Linked DNA regions of Struthio camelus. The protein of the gene in region 1 purifies or fractionates together with the protein of each later gene. This does not show direct contact. Links are inferred from orthologs where the notes say so. Each region holds a gene or a part of one and is shown on either strand. Other genes may lie near its edges.

Region 1 (7,925 bases):
TACAGCACTTCCAAAAATCTTAATGAACTGCCCTAGAGCTGAAGGAATCTCACATGCATCTCTGCTACAGAAAGAAGCAACAGAGACCAAAGAAAGTGTACCAGAATCATAATTCATGCTTACAACACTAAACATATGCTGCCTCCCTAAATATTTGGTACTTCCCACTTTAAACATGCCTACTGTATCACATTGAAACTATGCACAAGTCTCACAGAAACCAGCTGCCTTTTTTTTTTTTTTAAATTAAATCTTCCATCCACTACCTCTCAAAGAGGTAACGGAAACCTTCCTTTTGGCCCTTTGGCCCTCTCATGAGAGGCTGGTAGCCGTGATTTCATCATTCTAATGTATCCTGCATTGTTGTTTTAAACTACCGGCAAAAATTTTGGATGCGACCTAACGCTGTCTTATCTAATTCGTACTGCATGCCTACATTTTGAGACTCCTAGGAGACAAAAGGACACACAAAAGCCAATGGTAAGATGCGCACGTGCTCTGAGCACTTAAGAAACATGGCTCCCCTACACCCACACTAAACCATGATCTATTTTCTTACAGGCTCTGAGAAACAGTATCAAAGACTTCTAAGCATAGTCATTTGTTGCACTGAGAGCCTAACACCTCCTCCTCCTCTCTCAACTAAAGTAATCCCAGGGGACCAGACTATATTAATTTAACATTACTTCAGCCTTATGTCAACAGCGTCGTCAACTTGAGCATGTGCTTGAGATATGCCTTATCCTCAAGTCCTAATGGGATTTAGATCTGTATGAAACATAAATTAAACACGTTATATCCCATGTAGCAACAAAACACATCTCAAATAGCTTTAAAAGCAGAGTTTTTCTGGCCTTGCACTACCACCTGGGCCATACAGGTCGCCTGCATTTCACATTCTGCAAAGATTCCTTTTTTTCAAAGCCTTGCTTGCCACCATGTGCATGTTTTGACAGCTTCCTGAACAGATACGGCCACTCTGCATCAGTTTTAAACTAACATTTCTAGTCTTTTTCTAATTGTTTTCAGAAGACAAGATGACAATAGCATGCCTGTTAAGCAGGCACGCTTAGCCTGGGTAAATTCCAAGATGAAAATAGCAACATAATGCTTGCCCTGCAACTCCCCTACTTATCAGTAGGCATTTTTATTAAAATATATTATATACTGCAACTGAAGACTGCACTTTATCGTGCAGCTAAGAATTCCTGTGAAATCAATTCTAGAAACCACATTACAGCAGTTTCCCTCTGATGGGAGACCTGCAAGCTTGACTTTCTCTATGAGATCACGCTGGATAATCACTGTGGCTCTGCAGCAGGCTACCCAGAACTCTAAAGGCTGCAGTTTGGTGCAGACATCCAGGTTCTTCTACTTAAAGAAAGCCATAGTAGTTTCCTCAAGTTTCTTATATCCAGTATCTACAAGCTGAATCTCAAGTCTTATTGTTTGCTATGTGGTACGATTCAAGAAGTTCCCACTTTCAATCCCTAATCCAAACCTGTCCCTGTGCTTTCTTTCTTGATCACTCCTTGGTTTACCTATGGAAAGTTTAGCTTTCTTTAATGGAAAGTAGAAAGTATTCTAACAATTCTTACATCTCTAGAGACCGCAACGTTTGAGGACACTGCAAAAGTCATCTGTTGAATAAGATTTTTTTGCCCCCAGACATGATTATGAGGAAAAAACATTCAGGTCTATGGACAGCAATGAGAAGTTTGCTTTACATAATTAATCTTGATTTTTATTTTTTAACACCTTCAGGCTATAAAGCTAGACAATTCTAAGCCAGATGCAGTAATACTGTTGTTTCAAGATGATGTATTCTTGAGACTTTAAACAAAATCCACGTTATTACATTCCTCTCACTTTCAATCACGTTAAGCTGAAGAAGCTCAAAATGCAGAGTTTCGGGACAGCTGCACAGAAGTAAATGCCTTACCGGTGCCAGAGGGCAAAACCCAACTAGCCATGCAGGTCGTTTTCCTGAGTAGCTGTTCACGGGTTTTCCTCACTACTTGAGAAAGCAGTTACCATCCTCAGGCATTTAAGTCAATACAGAGTTTTAAGAGAACTTTAAGTTTTCAGCAAATAAAGCTCCTGTTAACTTCAGTGGGTAGTTTTCCTTCAGATTTTGCTCTGAAGGGCCAGCAGCACACGATCGTTATGAATACGCTGCAAAGTTTCGCTACTCTTCCACTTGCATTGCCAGAGAACAGCGATGCCAACTGTAACTACGTTGCAAAGAGCATGCCCTGGTTTCGGGTCAGCGAAGCAGCCTCGACAGTTACAACGAAGCCGGCTAATCAGGACTCCCCAGCGTGCCACAAGCGTTCTTGTAACGTCAGAGCACTTCAGGCTTCCGCGGAGCCGCCAGGGCGCACAGGAGGCCGCACGGGAGCCGGCGGGAGAGGAAATCCGGCCGGCCACCTCCTGCCCTTGGCTCCGGCCCCCGCGCCGCCTGCTCGCGGCGGACCGCTCCCGGGGCCCCGCCGCTCCCCTGCGCCCACCGCCGGCCCCTACCGGGAGCCGCAGCCGAGGCGCCGGCCGGGGCAGGGCCGCAGGCCCCGCCGCCCCACGCGGCCCCATTCATTGCCCGCCCGCCAGGGCCCCCCCCGGCGCCGCCAGCGGCAGCGGGCGCCCCCCGGGCCGCCGCCGCCGCCACAAGGTCACCACGCGCCGCCGCCCCCCCCCCGCCTCGGCAGGGCCGAGCGGGCCCGGCCGCCGCGGCAGAGCGCCCCGCCGCCGCCGCCTTCCCCCCGCCCCCCCGCTGCCCGGCCTCACATGGCGAACGGCGGCGGCTCCGCTGGCGCTCCTCGGGGCCCGGCGGCGGGCGGCGGCGGCACGGCGCGGGCGGCAAGGGCCGTGGCGGCGGCGAGGGCGCGGCGGCGGCGGCTCCTGGGGCTCGGCGCGGCCTCGCTCCCACAATGCCCCGCGCGCGCACTCCGGCAACGGCGGCGCCCAGGCGCTGGTGACGCAGCAAAATACCCGCCGCGCCGCGCCCGCCTCCCGCCTCCCGCCTCCCGCCTCCCGCCTCCCGCCGCCGCGCATGCGCGGGCCCCGCCGCCGCCGCCCGCGCCCCGCTCCCTCCTCCCTTCTAGCAGCTTCTCGGCGCGCAGGCGCGCTGCGGGCCCGCCCGAGGTGGGAGGAGGAGGGGGCGGGGCCGGCGTTGCCAGGGCGACGGGCGGCCGGGCCCGGCGGCCGCGCAGCCCACGCGTGGCGGCGGCGGCGCGCCGCCGTTTCCCGTCGCTCGGGCGGCTACCGCGGCTTGAGGGCCACCGCAGGCAGCAAACTCGCGGCCACCAGAGCTGCCTCGCCCCGCGCCGGGCCGGGCGGAGGACGCCCGGGGGAGCGGGGGTCGCCGAGGCCTGGCCCCCCGCAGGCCCCTCTGCGGCCTCCGAGTGCCACCTCCGGGGCTCGAAGCGGCTTTGAACTCCCATCGCCGCTCCCTGGGCCAGTGGCTCTCCGGCCTCTCCGTTAAAACTGCTGAAGGCGGCTCCCCGAGCCGCTCCTCCGATCGGTGTTCCTCAAGCGCGGCGGCTGCATCCGTCCCTCGCGGGCCCGGTGCCGGTGCCTCCTCCGAGGCTCCGGCCGGAGCTGGAGCCCTGCCGGCGCGTGCTGCCGGGGGCAGCTGCGACCGAGCGAAGCATCGCGCGATATTCGCCAGCGTTCAGGCACCGGGGAACCGCACGGAAGGGTAACGAAGGGCTTCTGGCTAGCGAACCTCCTGCTTATTTCATCTGGGGCTTCGTGCTGGCTGCCCGTACGGTGAGGTCGCCAATCAGCTTTAATGAGCTGTTCCAAGGCCCAGATTTTACTGCACAAGGGAGAAAGAAATGCTGCTAAGTGGCAGCAAGATGCCCATTTTCACAGCTCAGCCTCTGCATTTCATGAGACTTGGGGCTTTAGGTGGGTAAATGTCAGCTCGCTTCCCACCCGTCGAGTGCTGAAAGACTCCCTCTGCACGCAAACAACTTTCTGGGTAAGCACAGCCTTCCCTGCAGGCCTGGAGAGCAGGAGAAAAAACAATCAAAGCTCAGCCCCTTCTACTGCTCTGCTGTGCTGTACCACTCAAATTCCAGCAAAGTGGCACTTCAAAAACGGTAGGACTTATTGTTTGTTGACGCTCGGCCCACCAGGGCCCCAGCCTGGCTGATGCCATCGGGCAACGCGCTGTGAACGCGAACAACCAACAACGTGGGCAGGCAATCATCTCTGCTGGGGTGGGCGGCACAGCAAGGCGGTCGGTAAGGAGCCGCTGCCAAGGAAGACAGGTCTACGGCAGCAGAGGGAAGAAAGGGAAGCTGTCAGCGCCAAAGCAGCCATCTCCCATGACTTCTGGGCACCTCTAGCTGTTGCAAAGCTCTGGGTTCAAGAACCTGGATGAGTCTTGACCTTCTCTCAAATCAGGCTGGAAGACATGACGAGATAAACTAATCCATCCCTGTCCCATGGCTGCACTGAATTAAATGAGAAGAACCCCCTTTTCACTATTCTGCAGATCATTTCTTTTTCTTTAAAACCATTGTGGTTTCCTGGGCTGAGATAGAGACTCGCTACTGGGAGCATCACAGCTGCGCTCTCACAGAAGAGCACCGTCCGGAACGCTCCTGGGTGATGCGACACCCTTCAGCAGACGTCTCACCTGTAGATTTGAGACCTCCCGCTAGCTTCAGAGGGAGACGGTCTGTGCTAAGATCAGCGTCCCAGGCACACGTTGAAGTCGGAGGCCTTGGCTGGCCTTCCTGGGGCTCCCAGCCAGCCGACCTTTGGCGACAGGAAGGAAATGAGGGAACGAGCAGGTGTTCTTCCTCTACGGTGTAACAGGACAGAGAATATCAGGTTTTGAGATCTTCCCAGGATGAAGGCTCCACCCTGGGGCCTCAGCTACCAGGGAGGGAAAGGCAGCAAAGCCAAAAAAGAACAAAAAATGTTTCACCAACAATAAGCCACAACTTTTATTAATTGATAGAAATAGTACAAATTTTAAATGTAGTTGCATTTTACTCTTCTCTGAAACACCAAAAAAGGCTCCTCCCTCCTGACGGCTACATCGTCAATTCCTGCAAAGAGAAAGACCTGTTAGGATCCAGCCTTGCCCACCGGCACAGAAGCCTGGCTCCGGACACGTGGAGTACTCCTTAGGGAAGACAAGCCTCTGCGGCTCGTCTGCCCAGCAAGGCCCGGGACAGGTCATTTCGCTTCCTGGCCTTCCAGCTGGGAGCAAGCTACTGTGCCAGAGTGTGGAGGTACCTGATATCCCAAACAGATACATGGGGTGCAGACGGAAGGAAACAAAGTCCCTCCACTTTGCATCACGTGACCCCCAAATTCATCCCCTACTTGCAGCAACAGAGAAACAAGCACCACATGTCTCCTCCACAGGGAAGTTTCATTTCTAACCGCTATGGGTCTTCCCAGGCTCAAGGCTCGCTTGACTGGCTGGAAATGCCACTGCAGGCAGGCACTTACCATTATAGCATTTACAATATCGTTACTGTTGTTCTTCAGGGCACGGACTGCCTTTGCTCGGGACACGTTCGCCTGGGACATGACCAGCTCAATATCTTTCACCTCAACGCCGGTTTCGTCAACCTGAGGAGACAGAGACCAGGATTGTCTCCAGCTGAACACACGGCCTGCTCCACGCCCAGCAAAGAAAAACGGAATTGTCTGGATTGGGGCAGCTCCCAGTCAAGCCAAAGACAGAAGCTGGGATGCAAGACTGGGCGCTATCTAGCCCTGTAGACAGTCTTCTGATAGCGAATGGGACCAGGTCCTCCAGGGGAAGGACCCTGCACTTCCTTTTGTCATCAAGCCAAACATTCAGAGGCGGGAAAGAAAAGCATGTGTCATAACGCAAAGCTCTAGATGTGACACAGAGTGGCAGGGAAGGGGGCTCGGGCAGAAAGAGTAGCTGATACGGCAATCCTGTAAGAGCAAAAGCAACAGGCAGGGGAGGAAGGGTCTTCGGAGAGCAGAGCTACGATCCATGCAGCAAAGGCAGAGCACAACAGCCTGGTAGGGAACTGCCCTGGTGGAGGGTGAATCCAGCTCTTGCTCTTTAGAGCTCTCTGGACCACCTCCAGCCCAGGCCGAGGCGATACACGGGTCAAGCAGACAAATGACCACACCGAGGTTACAGCCTGGGAACCCCCACCCTGGCCAGGGCTGCCAGGCAGGCGGCGTGGCGTGGCGTGGCGCGGCACACCGTGGGGAGGGAGAACCCCTCGGAGCAGCACGCTCCACTTAGCATGAATGCACATTAACACAATGAGGCCCTTCAGCTCAGTGGCCGGGTTTCGCATTTTGGTTCAATTCCCAAACAAAGCACCCTGCCTCGCTGCAGACAGCCTGGGGAAGGCATACCTCTTCCTCCTCGCTCTCCTCCTGCACGGTGGGGGTCTGTGTGTTTTCCTGGATGTTTGAAACAGCTTCTCCTTGCACTTTGAACTTTTCGGCAGCTGCCAGCTGGGCCTGCTGGGACAGGTCCTCGATCTGGGGAAGAGAAGCAGCACAAGTGAGGCCAGCCCTACGCAGAGTGGGATGTCAGCACACAGGCTCAGACAGTCACAGCTGTGTTCCTCACTCTGCTGAGGTGCCAGCACATTAAATAGCTCTGTTGCACAACCGAGCTGGGAAGCCAGCCGTCAGTGAAGGCTGGGGCCTGCCCACACCTCTCTAGGGGCATGCGCAGCAGCAGGGATCCAGCCAGTTGCAGCCAGTGTTTGCAGGTGACAAGGATGAACCCTGCTACCTCAGAGCTGCCACCCCGCTGCTGTGAATACAGATTAACATGGCTGCCAGGCACGACGTAGAGTCAACACACCTTCGCTTCGCCGAAGACGATGTAGGTGTCTGACGCTGGGCTCTTGTACACGTCTGGCTTTGTGATGACAAAGAGGATGTTCTTAGATTTCCGAATGGTGACTCTGGTTACTCCTGTGACCTGGCGAAGGCCCAGTTTAGACATTGCCTTAAAAAAAAAAAAAAGAGAGAAAAAAGAATGAGAGAAAGAAAAGTTAGTGAGACGGCCCAGCCCAGGACAAGATGCGCATGCTCATCTGCTCTCTGGAGATCAGGGTCCAACAATTGGTGCGCTCATGTGAATGAAAATGTGCATTTTACTGCTGCAGACAAGCATTCAAAGGCTTTTAGACTGACACTGCTGAGTGCCCGGGAGGGAACTTTCTATTCCCAGCACTGGCACAGATCCACAGCATGACCTCGAGCCACTCCAGGCACAAGGATTTTTTTCCCGTGGAAGGGGGGCATTCCCCTGCCTGGGGGCCTGACCAAGACAGAAAATCACACCATCATTTCTCAGCTCCAGAAAGCCCTGCTGCTATAGTACAAGGGTAGAGCATGAGGAGGAGCAATCCTGAGCAGGGTTCATCAGATGAACTCCCAAGCACTCAAGAGATACTGTGCCACATTCTGAAGTAAAGCTCAGCTCATCCATGGGCAGGCTGTTGGCTGTATATGGATTTGGTCCCTTTCCCATCCCATCTTACCTTTCGTGCTTTCTTTTCACTCCGACTCTGTTTTGCTTTGCTAACGGGTTCTTCATCTATTTCAGCTGCTGCTGCAAGCTGCAAGGACAGAAAACAAGAGGGCCCTTAGACAGCTCTGAGCAGGTGATGCATGTAGCAGATGACAGCATCTGAGGGGATCCTGCTTTGGCCACTGCTGGGCACAGGGAGACCAATGGGACCTGTTCTCTGACCAACAGCGAGGCAAGGAAAAATAGAAATAGAAGAATAGTCCTTTCTGTGAAGGCTCTCCAACCACCATTCCCTGGTGTGAGCTACTCAAGATGGGGGTGGCCTGAGGGACCCTCAGGTGATTCTGAGGAGCAATTTCCCAGAAGGGCATCCCCCTGCACACGTTATGCCCACCAAAATCCACTGCTGAGCTTGGGGAGT
Region 2 (7,371 bases), on another chromosome or scaffold:
GGGGGGCCCCGGTTTGGGGGGGGCCCGTCCAGGGGGGCCTGTGGCGGGTCCCTGGAGGGGGTCCCAGTTTGGGGGAGTTTCTGGGGGGGTTCCCCAATTTGGGGGGTTCTGTGGTTTTGGGGGACTTCTCGGTTTGGGGAAGGTCCCTGTTTTGGGGGGTCCCCAGGGGGTGTTCCTGGTTTGGGGGGGTCTCTGATTTTGGGGAAGTCTCGGGGGGGGTTCCCCAATTTGGGAGGGTTCTGTGGTTTTGGGGGACTTCCTGGTTTGGGGGAGGTCCTTGTTTTGGGGGGGTCCCTGGGGAGCCCAGTTTGGGGGTCCCTGGATTTGGGAGGGGCCTATCTGGGGGGCTCCTGGAGGAGGTTCTCGGTTTAGGGGGATCCCTGGTTTTGGGGGGGGGGTCCCTGGGGGTTTGCAGTTCAAGGGGGTCCCTGGTTTTGGGGGGGGTCCCTGGGGGGATTCCCAGTTTTGGGGGGGGTCCCTGATTTTGGGGGAGAGGTCCCTAGTGGAGGGGGTACATGATTTTAGGGGAGTGGTCCCTGTTTTGAAGGGCTCCCTGATCTGGGGGGGGGGGCGGTCTGGTTTTTTGGGGGGTAGGTCCCAACTCAGGGAAGGGGGGTGTCCCCAGTTGGGGGGGTCCCTGATTTTGGGGGTCCGCTGACGGCGGCCCTGCAGGGCTGCCGGGGCCCCCCCCGGCCACCGCCGAGGACGAGGAAGCCGCCGCCGAAGGCCTCCCGGGGGGGGGCTTCGCCCTGGGGCCCTGAAGGGGGCCCGGCCCCCCCCCCAAAAAAAACACCCACCCTGGGGGGGTCCCCGACCCCCCCATCCCCATCCGGGACCACCCGGGCCCCCCCTCTCCCAAACCCCGGGCACCCCCCCCCACTTTTATACTCCTCTTTCGTATGATCCCCTTTTATACCGGCTTCCCCCCAACTCCCCGGCGTGGGGCCCTCGTGCGAAGGACGCCCTCGTGCAAGATCACGGCCCTTGTGCGAGAGCCACGTGCAAGAGCCGCCCTCAAGTGAGATCATGGCCCTCGTGTGAAAGCCTCGGGCGAGAGACGCCCTCGTGCAAGAGCATGGTCCTCGTGCGAGAGCTTCGTGCAACAGACACCCTCATGCGAGAGCACGGTCCTCCTGCAAAAGCCTCAGGCAAGGGATGCCCTCGTGCAAGATCTCAGCCCTCGTGCGAGAGCCTCGGGTGAGAGCCACCCTCATGCGAGAGCATGGCCCTCGTGCAAAAGCCTCGGGTGAGAGACGCCCACGTGCAAGATCACAGTCCTTGTGTAAAAGCTTCGTGCAAGAGCCGCCCTGATGCGAGAGCACGGTCCTCGTGCTAGAGCCTCAAATGAGAGATGCCCTTGTGCAAGATCACGGCCCTTGTGTGAGAGCTTTGTGCGAGAGACACCCTGATGCAAGAGCATAGTCCTCCTGCGAAGGACACCCTCGTGCAAGAGCTGCCCGGGTGCAAGATCACGGCCCTCGTGCGAGAGCCCCTGGCGAGAGCCGCCCTCGCACAAGATCACTTCCCTCGTGTGAAAGCCTTGTGCAAGAGCCCCCCCTTCCTGTGCCAGCTGCCCTCGTGCGAGAGCTCCCCCTCACTGGTGCAAGAGCCTCGGGCAAGAGCCCGTTGTATGAGGACCATGTGTGAGAGCCGCCCTCGTGCAAGATGGCTGCCCTCGTGCAAGATGGCCACCCTCATGCAAGAACCGCCCGGAAGACCCACCCCTGGGGTGAGAGTCTTGTGAAGCCTCCCCCCTCAACCCTGGTGCTACGGCCACGCACGAGCACCGTCCTCGTGCAAGAGCCTCATGAGAGAGACGCCCTCGTGCGAGAGCATGGTCCTTATGCTAGAGCCTCGTGCAAGAGACGCCCTTGTGCAAGATCACGGCCCTCGTGTGAGAGCCTCGTGTGAGAGATCCTCATGCGAGAGCACGTTCCTCCTGCGAAGGATGCCCTCGTGCAAGAGCTGCCCGGGTGCAAGATCACAGTCCTCGTGTGAGAGCCCCAGGCGAGAGATGCCCTCATGCAAGATCATTTCCCTCGTGCAAAAGCCTCGTGCAAGAGCCGCCCCTTCCTGTGCCAGCTGCCCTCGTGCGAGAGCTCCCCCCTCCCCAGTGCAAGCGCCTCGGGCAAGAGCTCCCACCTCGTGCCAGAGCCTCATGCAAGAGCCCGTTGTATGAGGACCACATGCGAGAGCCACCCTTGTGCAAGATGGCTGCCCTCGTGCAAGATGGCTGTCCTCGTGCAAAACTGCCCAGAAGACCCACCCCTGGGGCGAGAGTGTCATGAAACCTCCCCCCTCAACCCTGGTGCTACGGCTATGCACGATCGCCATCCTCATGCAAGAGCCTTGTGTGAGAGCTGCCCCCTCGCCACCGCAAGATCCTCACCCTCGTGCGAGGGCCTCGTGCAAGAACCCCCTCCGGGGGAGCCCCGTGGCCTAGGGCACGACGACTCCCTTCGCGCCCGCCACCCTAGTGCAAGCGCCTGCCCTCGTGCGAGTCAGCTGCCATGGCGCGAATGAGCCCTCCCCGCTACCTGCCGGGAGACGTCTGCCCTCGTGCGAGAGTCCGGCCCTTGTGTGAGTCCCTCCTCGTGCAAGATTGCAGCCGTCGTGCGAAACCCCCTCGTGTAAGAGTCCGCCCATCATGCAAGCCCCTCTTGTACAAGAGTGCAGCCCTCGTGCAAGACCCCCTCGTGCGAGAGTTCACCCATTTTGTGAGACCCCTTTGTGCGAGAATCTGGCCGTCGTGCGAGAGTCCGGCTGTCGTGCGAGAACCTGGCCCTCATGTGAGCCCCCCTCGTGTGAGAGCGTGGTCCTCATGCGAGATGCCCTCGTGCGAAAGTTCAGCCCTCGGGCGAGTCCCTCCTCGTGCAAGAGTCCACCCATCATCTGAGAACCCCCTCGTGCGAGAGCCTGGCCCTCACGTGAACCCCACTTGTGCAAGAGTCGAGCCCTCGTGCAAGAGACTGGCCCTCGTGCGAGACCCCTTCATATGGGAGCCCGGCCCTCATGCAAGACCGACTTGCGCGAGACTTCAGTGCTTGTGCGAGCCCCTCCTCGTGCGAGAGCCCACCCCTCGTGCGAGAGCCCCCCTCGTGCAACCACCCCCCCACCCCAGGGGGCCCCGGCGTGGCAGGAGGCTGGGGGCTCCGGCCCCGCCGCTGCACCCACACGCACAGCCCGGGGCGCCCTCGTGTGCCGCTCGCACGCCCGGCGCCTCCCCGCCTGCCTCGCACGCGCTTGTGCACACCCGCCGCTACGCGAACCCCCTCCCTCCCCCCTCCAACCCCCGCACAGGCGGACGGGACGCGGGGACACACGTGCGCACACAACACGGAGACCCGGGCCAGGTTGCATGCCCCCGCGCACGGGACGCCCCGAGGACCCCCAGCCGCCTGTCTCCGGCTGTAGGCGGAGCCGCGGCCGCCTGTACCTGCCGCTCGCTCGCGCCATAAACCGCTCTGGCAACGCAATGGCTCGGCCTCTGGTACGCGGCGGGGGGGACGCACAGGTGGGGGGGACACGCGGGTCGGGGGACACGCCGGGGGGACAGCAGGGGACACAGGAGGAGCCACACGGCGCTGCAGGTGCTCAGAGGCCCCATGGTGGCCCTAGGCCATGGGCATGGCCGCTCTGGCCCCTCTTCTTGCCATTCTATGGTAAGCCTGGGGGGGGGCCAACCTGCCACAGGCCTGGCTGCTCTGGCCCCTCTTGTTGCCACTCTATGGCGGGCAGCAGCCCCATTCCCCCCCCCCCCCACTGCAGACATAGCCGCTCTGTCCCCTTTTCTTACTGCTCTATGGTGGGCAGTGGCTCCATTTCCCCCCCCCATTGTGGGCCTGGCTGCTCTGGTCCCTCTTGGTGCCACTCTATGGTGGGTGGTGACCCCATTTCCCCCCCTCCCACCACGGCTGCCCTAGGTTGCAGGCCTGGCCACTCTGGCTCCTCTTGGCGCTACTCTATGGTGAGCAGCGGCTCTAGGCCGCGGGCCTGGCCGCTCTAGCCACTCTTGGTGCCGCTCTATGGTGGGCGGCAGCCCCACCCCCTGCCACAGCCCTAGGCCGCAGGCCTGGCCGCTCTGGCCCCTCTTGGCGCCGCTCTATGGCGAGCGGCGGCTGTAACCTGGCCGCTCTGGCCCCTCTTGACGCCGCTCTATAGCGAGCAGCCGCTCTAGGCCGCGGGCCTGGCCGCTCTGGCCCCTCTTGGCGCCGCTCTATGGCGAGCGGCGGCCCCGCCCCCCCCAGCGACGCCTTCGCCGCGCGCCTCGGCGCGGCCCCGCCCCCTCCTCCCCTCCCCTCCCCTCGCGCCGCTTTTGCGACAGCGGGCGGCGGCGCGGGGCGGCGGCGGCGGGGTCGCGGCGTTGCTAAGGGGCGCTTTACGGCGCGGCCATGGCGGAGGGGGAGCGGGCGGAGAGCGGTGGCCCCGGGCGGCCCCCGAGCCCCGGCGCGCTGGAGCGGGCCGAGGCGCTGAAGGCGCGGGCCAACGAGTACTTCAAAGGTAGCGGCTGCCCCCCGGGGGGGCCGGCGGGGTGCCGGAGAGGGAGCCATGTGGGGGGGGACGGAGGGGAGGGGGTGCCAGATAGGGAGCCATGGAGGGAGGACATAGGGAAGGGGCTGCCAAATAGGGAGCTAGGTCGGGGCGGGTATGGGGGGTGCCAGATAGGGAGCCATGAGGGGGAGCATAGGGAAGGGGCTGCCAGATAGGGAGCCGGGGGGAGGGGGGACATGAGGGGTGCCAGATAGGGAGCTACGTGAGGGGATATGGGGAGGGGGTGCCACATGGGGAGCGGGGGGGGGCATGGGCGTGCCAGATAGGGAGCCATGGTGGGGGGGGGGGATGAGAGGGGACAAATAGGGGGCTGGAGCAGGGGGGAAGAGGTGCCAGATAAGGAGCCATGTGGGAAGGGTACAGGGGAAGGGGTGCCACATAGGGAGCCGGGGGGGCTGCCAAATAGGGAGCTGAGGGAAGTGCCAGATAGAGAGCCATGATGGGGGGATCGGGGAGGGGGCTGCTGCCAGATAGGGAGCCATGGAGGGGCAATTAGGGGTGCGACCTGCTGCCAAATAGGGGGGGATGTGTTCAGGCTGGGTTTTGGGGCGATTCCTGGAGGTTTTGGGGGTCCCTCGGGGTTTGGGGTGGTCAAGGTGGTTTGGGGGAGGGGGATCCCCAGGGTTTTGGGGTGGATCGCTGTGGGTTTGGGGGGCTCAGGCTGGGTTTGAGGGGGATCCCTGGGGTTTTGGGCTGAATCCCTGCAGGTTTGGGTGGCTCAGGCTGGTTTTGGGTGGGGGTGACCCCCATGATTTGGGGGGGATTCCTGTGGGTTTGGAGGTCCCCATGGTTTTGGGCTGGATCCTGGCAGATTTGGGTGGCTCCAGGCTGGGTTTGAGGGGAATCCCTGTGGTTTTGGGCTGTATCCTTGCAAGTTTGGGTGGCTTTGAGTGGGGGTGACCCCCATGGTTTTGGGGTGGATTCCTGTGGGTTTGGGGAGCTCAGGCTGGGTTTAGAGTAAATTGCTGTGGTTTTGGGCTGGATCCTGGTAGATTTGGGTGGCTCAGGCCAAGTTTGAGGGGAATCCCCATGGTTTTGGGCTGGATCCTGGCAGATTTGAGTGGTTCAGGCCAGATTTGAGGGGGATCCCCATGATTTTGGGCTGGATCCCAGCAGATTTGGGTGGCTCAAGCCAAGTTTGGAGGAGGCTCCCCACGGTTCGGGTGGTGGTGGGGTGGGGGGAGTTCCCCGTCGTTGGGGCCGGCTCCCGGGGAGGATCGCCGCCTTTTTTGGGGGCGCTCCCCGCCGTTTTCGGGGGCGGCGGCTGAGGCCCCGGCGGGGGGGGGGTGGTCGCGCAGCGAAGGACTACGAGAACGCGGTCAAGTACTACAGCCAGGCCATCGAGCTGTGTCCCACCAACGCCATCTACTATGGGAACCGGAGCCTGGCCCACCTGCGGGCCGAGAGCTACGGCTACGCCCTGGCCGACGCCACGCGGGCCCTCGAGCTCGACGCCGCCTACGTCAAGGGCTACTACCGGCGCGCCGCCAGCAACATGGCCCTGGGCAAGTTCAAGGCCGCCCTGCGCGACTACGAAACGGTGAGGGCTGGCCCCGGCCCCCCGGGGTGTCAGTTGTGTTTAGGGAGCGCTGCTGTAGTCCTCTGGGGTGTCACTGCGTGCCTCCAGCCGTGTCTGGGGACCCCGTGTCATCCTCTGGGGTGTCACTGCGTCCCTACAGCTGTGGTTAGGGACCCTATGTCGTCCTCTGGGGTGTCACTGCCTCCCTATAGCTGTGTTTGGGGTCCCCGTGTCATCCTCTGAGGCGTCGCTGCATGCTTACAACCACGGTTAGGGACCCTGTGTCGTCCTCCAAGGTGTCGCTGTGTGCCTACAACCGTAGTTAGGGACCCCATGTTGTTCTCCAGAGTGTCACTGCGTGCCTACAGCCGTGTTTGGGGACCCTGTGTCGTCCTTTGAGGTGTCACTGCGTCCCTACAGCCGTGTCTGGGGACCCCGTGTCATCCTCTGGGGTGTCACTGCATCCCTACAACCATGGTTAGGGACCCCATGTTGTCCTCTGGGGTGTCACTGCGTCTCTACAACCGTAGTTAGGGACCCTACATCGTCCTCTGAGGTGTCACTGCGTCCCTACAGCTGTGTTTGGGGACCGTGCGTCATCCTCCGAGGTGTCACTTTGTCCCTATAGCTGTGGTTAGGCACCCCGCGTCGTCCTCTGAGGTGTCATCGCATCCTGACAGCCGTGTTTAGGGACCCTACGTTGTCTTCCGGGTTGTCATTGCGTCCCTACAACCGTGGTTAGGTACCCTGCGTCATCCTCCGAGGTGTCACCATGTCCCTACAGCTGTGTTTGGGGACCCCATGTTGTCCTGTGGGATGTCACCGTGTCCCTGCAGCTGTGGTTAGGGACCCTGCATCACCCTGTGGGGTGTCACCGCATCCCTATAGCTGTGGTTAGGGACCCTGTGTCGTCCTCTGGGGTGTCACTGCATCCTGACAGCTGTGGTTAGGGACCCTGTGTCGTCCTCCGGGGAGGTCATTGTGCCCCAGGAGCTGTGTTTAAGGACCCTATGTCACTCTCTGAGATGTCACCGTGTCCCTAGAACTGTTTAAGAACTCTGTATTGGTCGCTAGGGCGTCACCATGTCCCTACAGCCGTGTTTAGGGACCCTATGTTATTTTCTGGGGTGTCACCACATCTCCGCGGCCGTGTTTAGGGACCCCACATCGTCCTCTGAGGTGTCACTGCGTCCCTACAGCCGTGTTTGAGGACCCCACGTCACTCTATGGAGCACCGTCCTGTCCTTATGAACATGTTTGGGGAGCCGGTGTCACCCTCCCACGTGTCACTGGTTTTCCGC

The links.
Region 2: the proteins of PTGES3 (region 1) and PPP5C purify together in Homo sapiens (affinity purification with mass spectrometry; 5 studies listed by BioGRID and IntAct, with this or other methods). This does not show direct contact. The link is inferred for Struthio camelus from reciprocal best matches to the Homo sapiens genes PTGES3 and PPP5C.

Annotation. Positions count from the first base shown.
Region 1 is NC_090969.1:379,054-386,978, reverse strand, and holds the start of PTGES3 (prostaglandin E synthase 3), read right to left. Parts: upstream 3,016-7,925; 5' UTR 2,787-3,015; coding exon 2,785-2,786; intron 1-2,784. Other genes in the region: nascent polypeptide-associated complex subunit alpha, read right to left, coding at 5,049-5,063, 5,473-5,595, 6,370-6,498, 6,830-6,976, 7,515-7,592. UniProt on the Homo sapiens protein: Cytosolic prostaglandin synthase that catalyzes the oxidoreduction of prostaglandin endoperoxide H2 (PGH2) to prostaglandin E2 (PGE2).
Region 2 is NC_090957.1:1,971,079-1,978,449, reverse strand, and holds the start of PPP5C (serine/threonine-protein phosphatase 5), read left to right. Parts: upstream 1-4,353; 5' UTR 4,354-4,391; coding exon 4,392-4,500; intron 4,501-5,849; coding exon 5,850-6,091; intron 6,092-7,371. UniProt on the Homo sapiens protein: Serine/threonine-protein phosphatase that dephosphorylates a myriad of proteins involved in different signaling pathways including the kinases CSNK1E, ASK1/MAP3K5, PRKDC and RAF1, the nuclear receptors NR3C1, PPARG, ESR1 and ESR2, SMAD proteins and TAU/MAPT.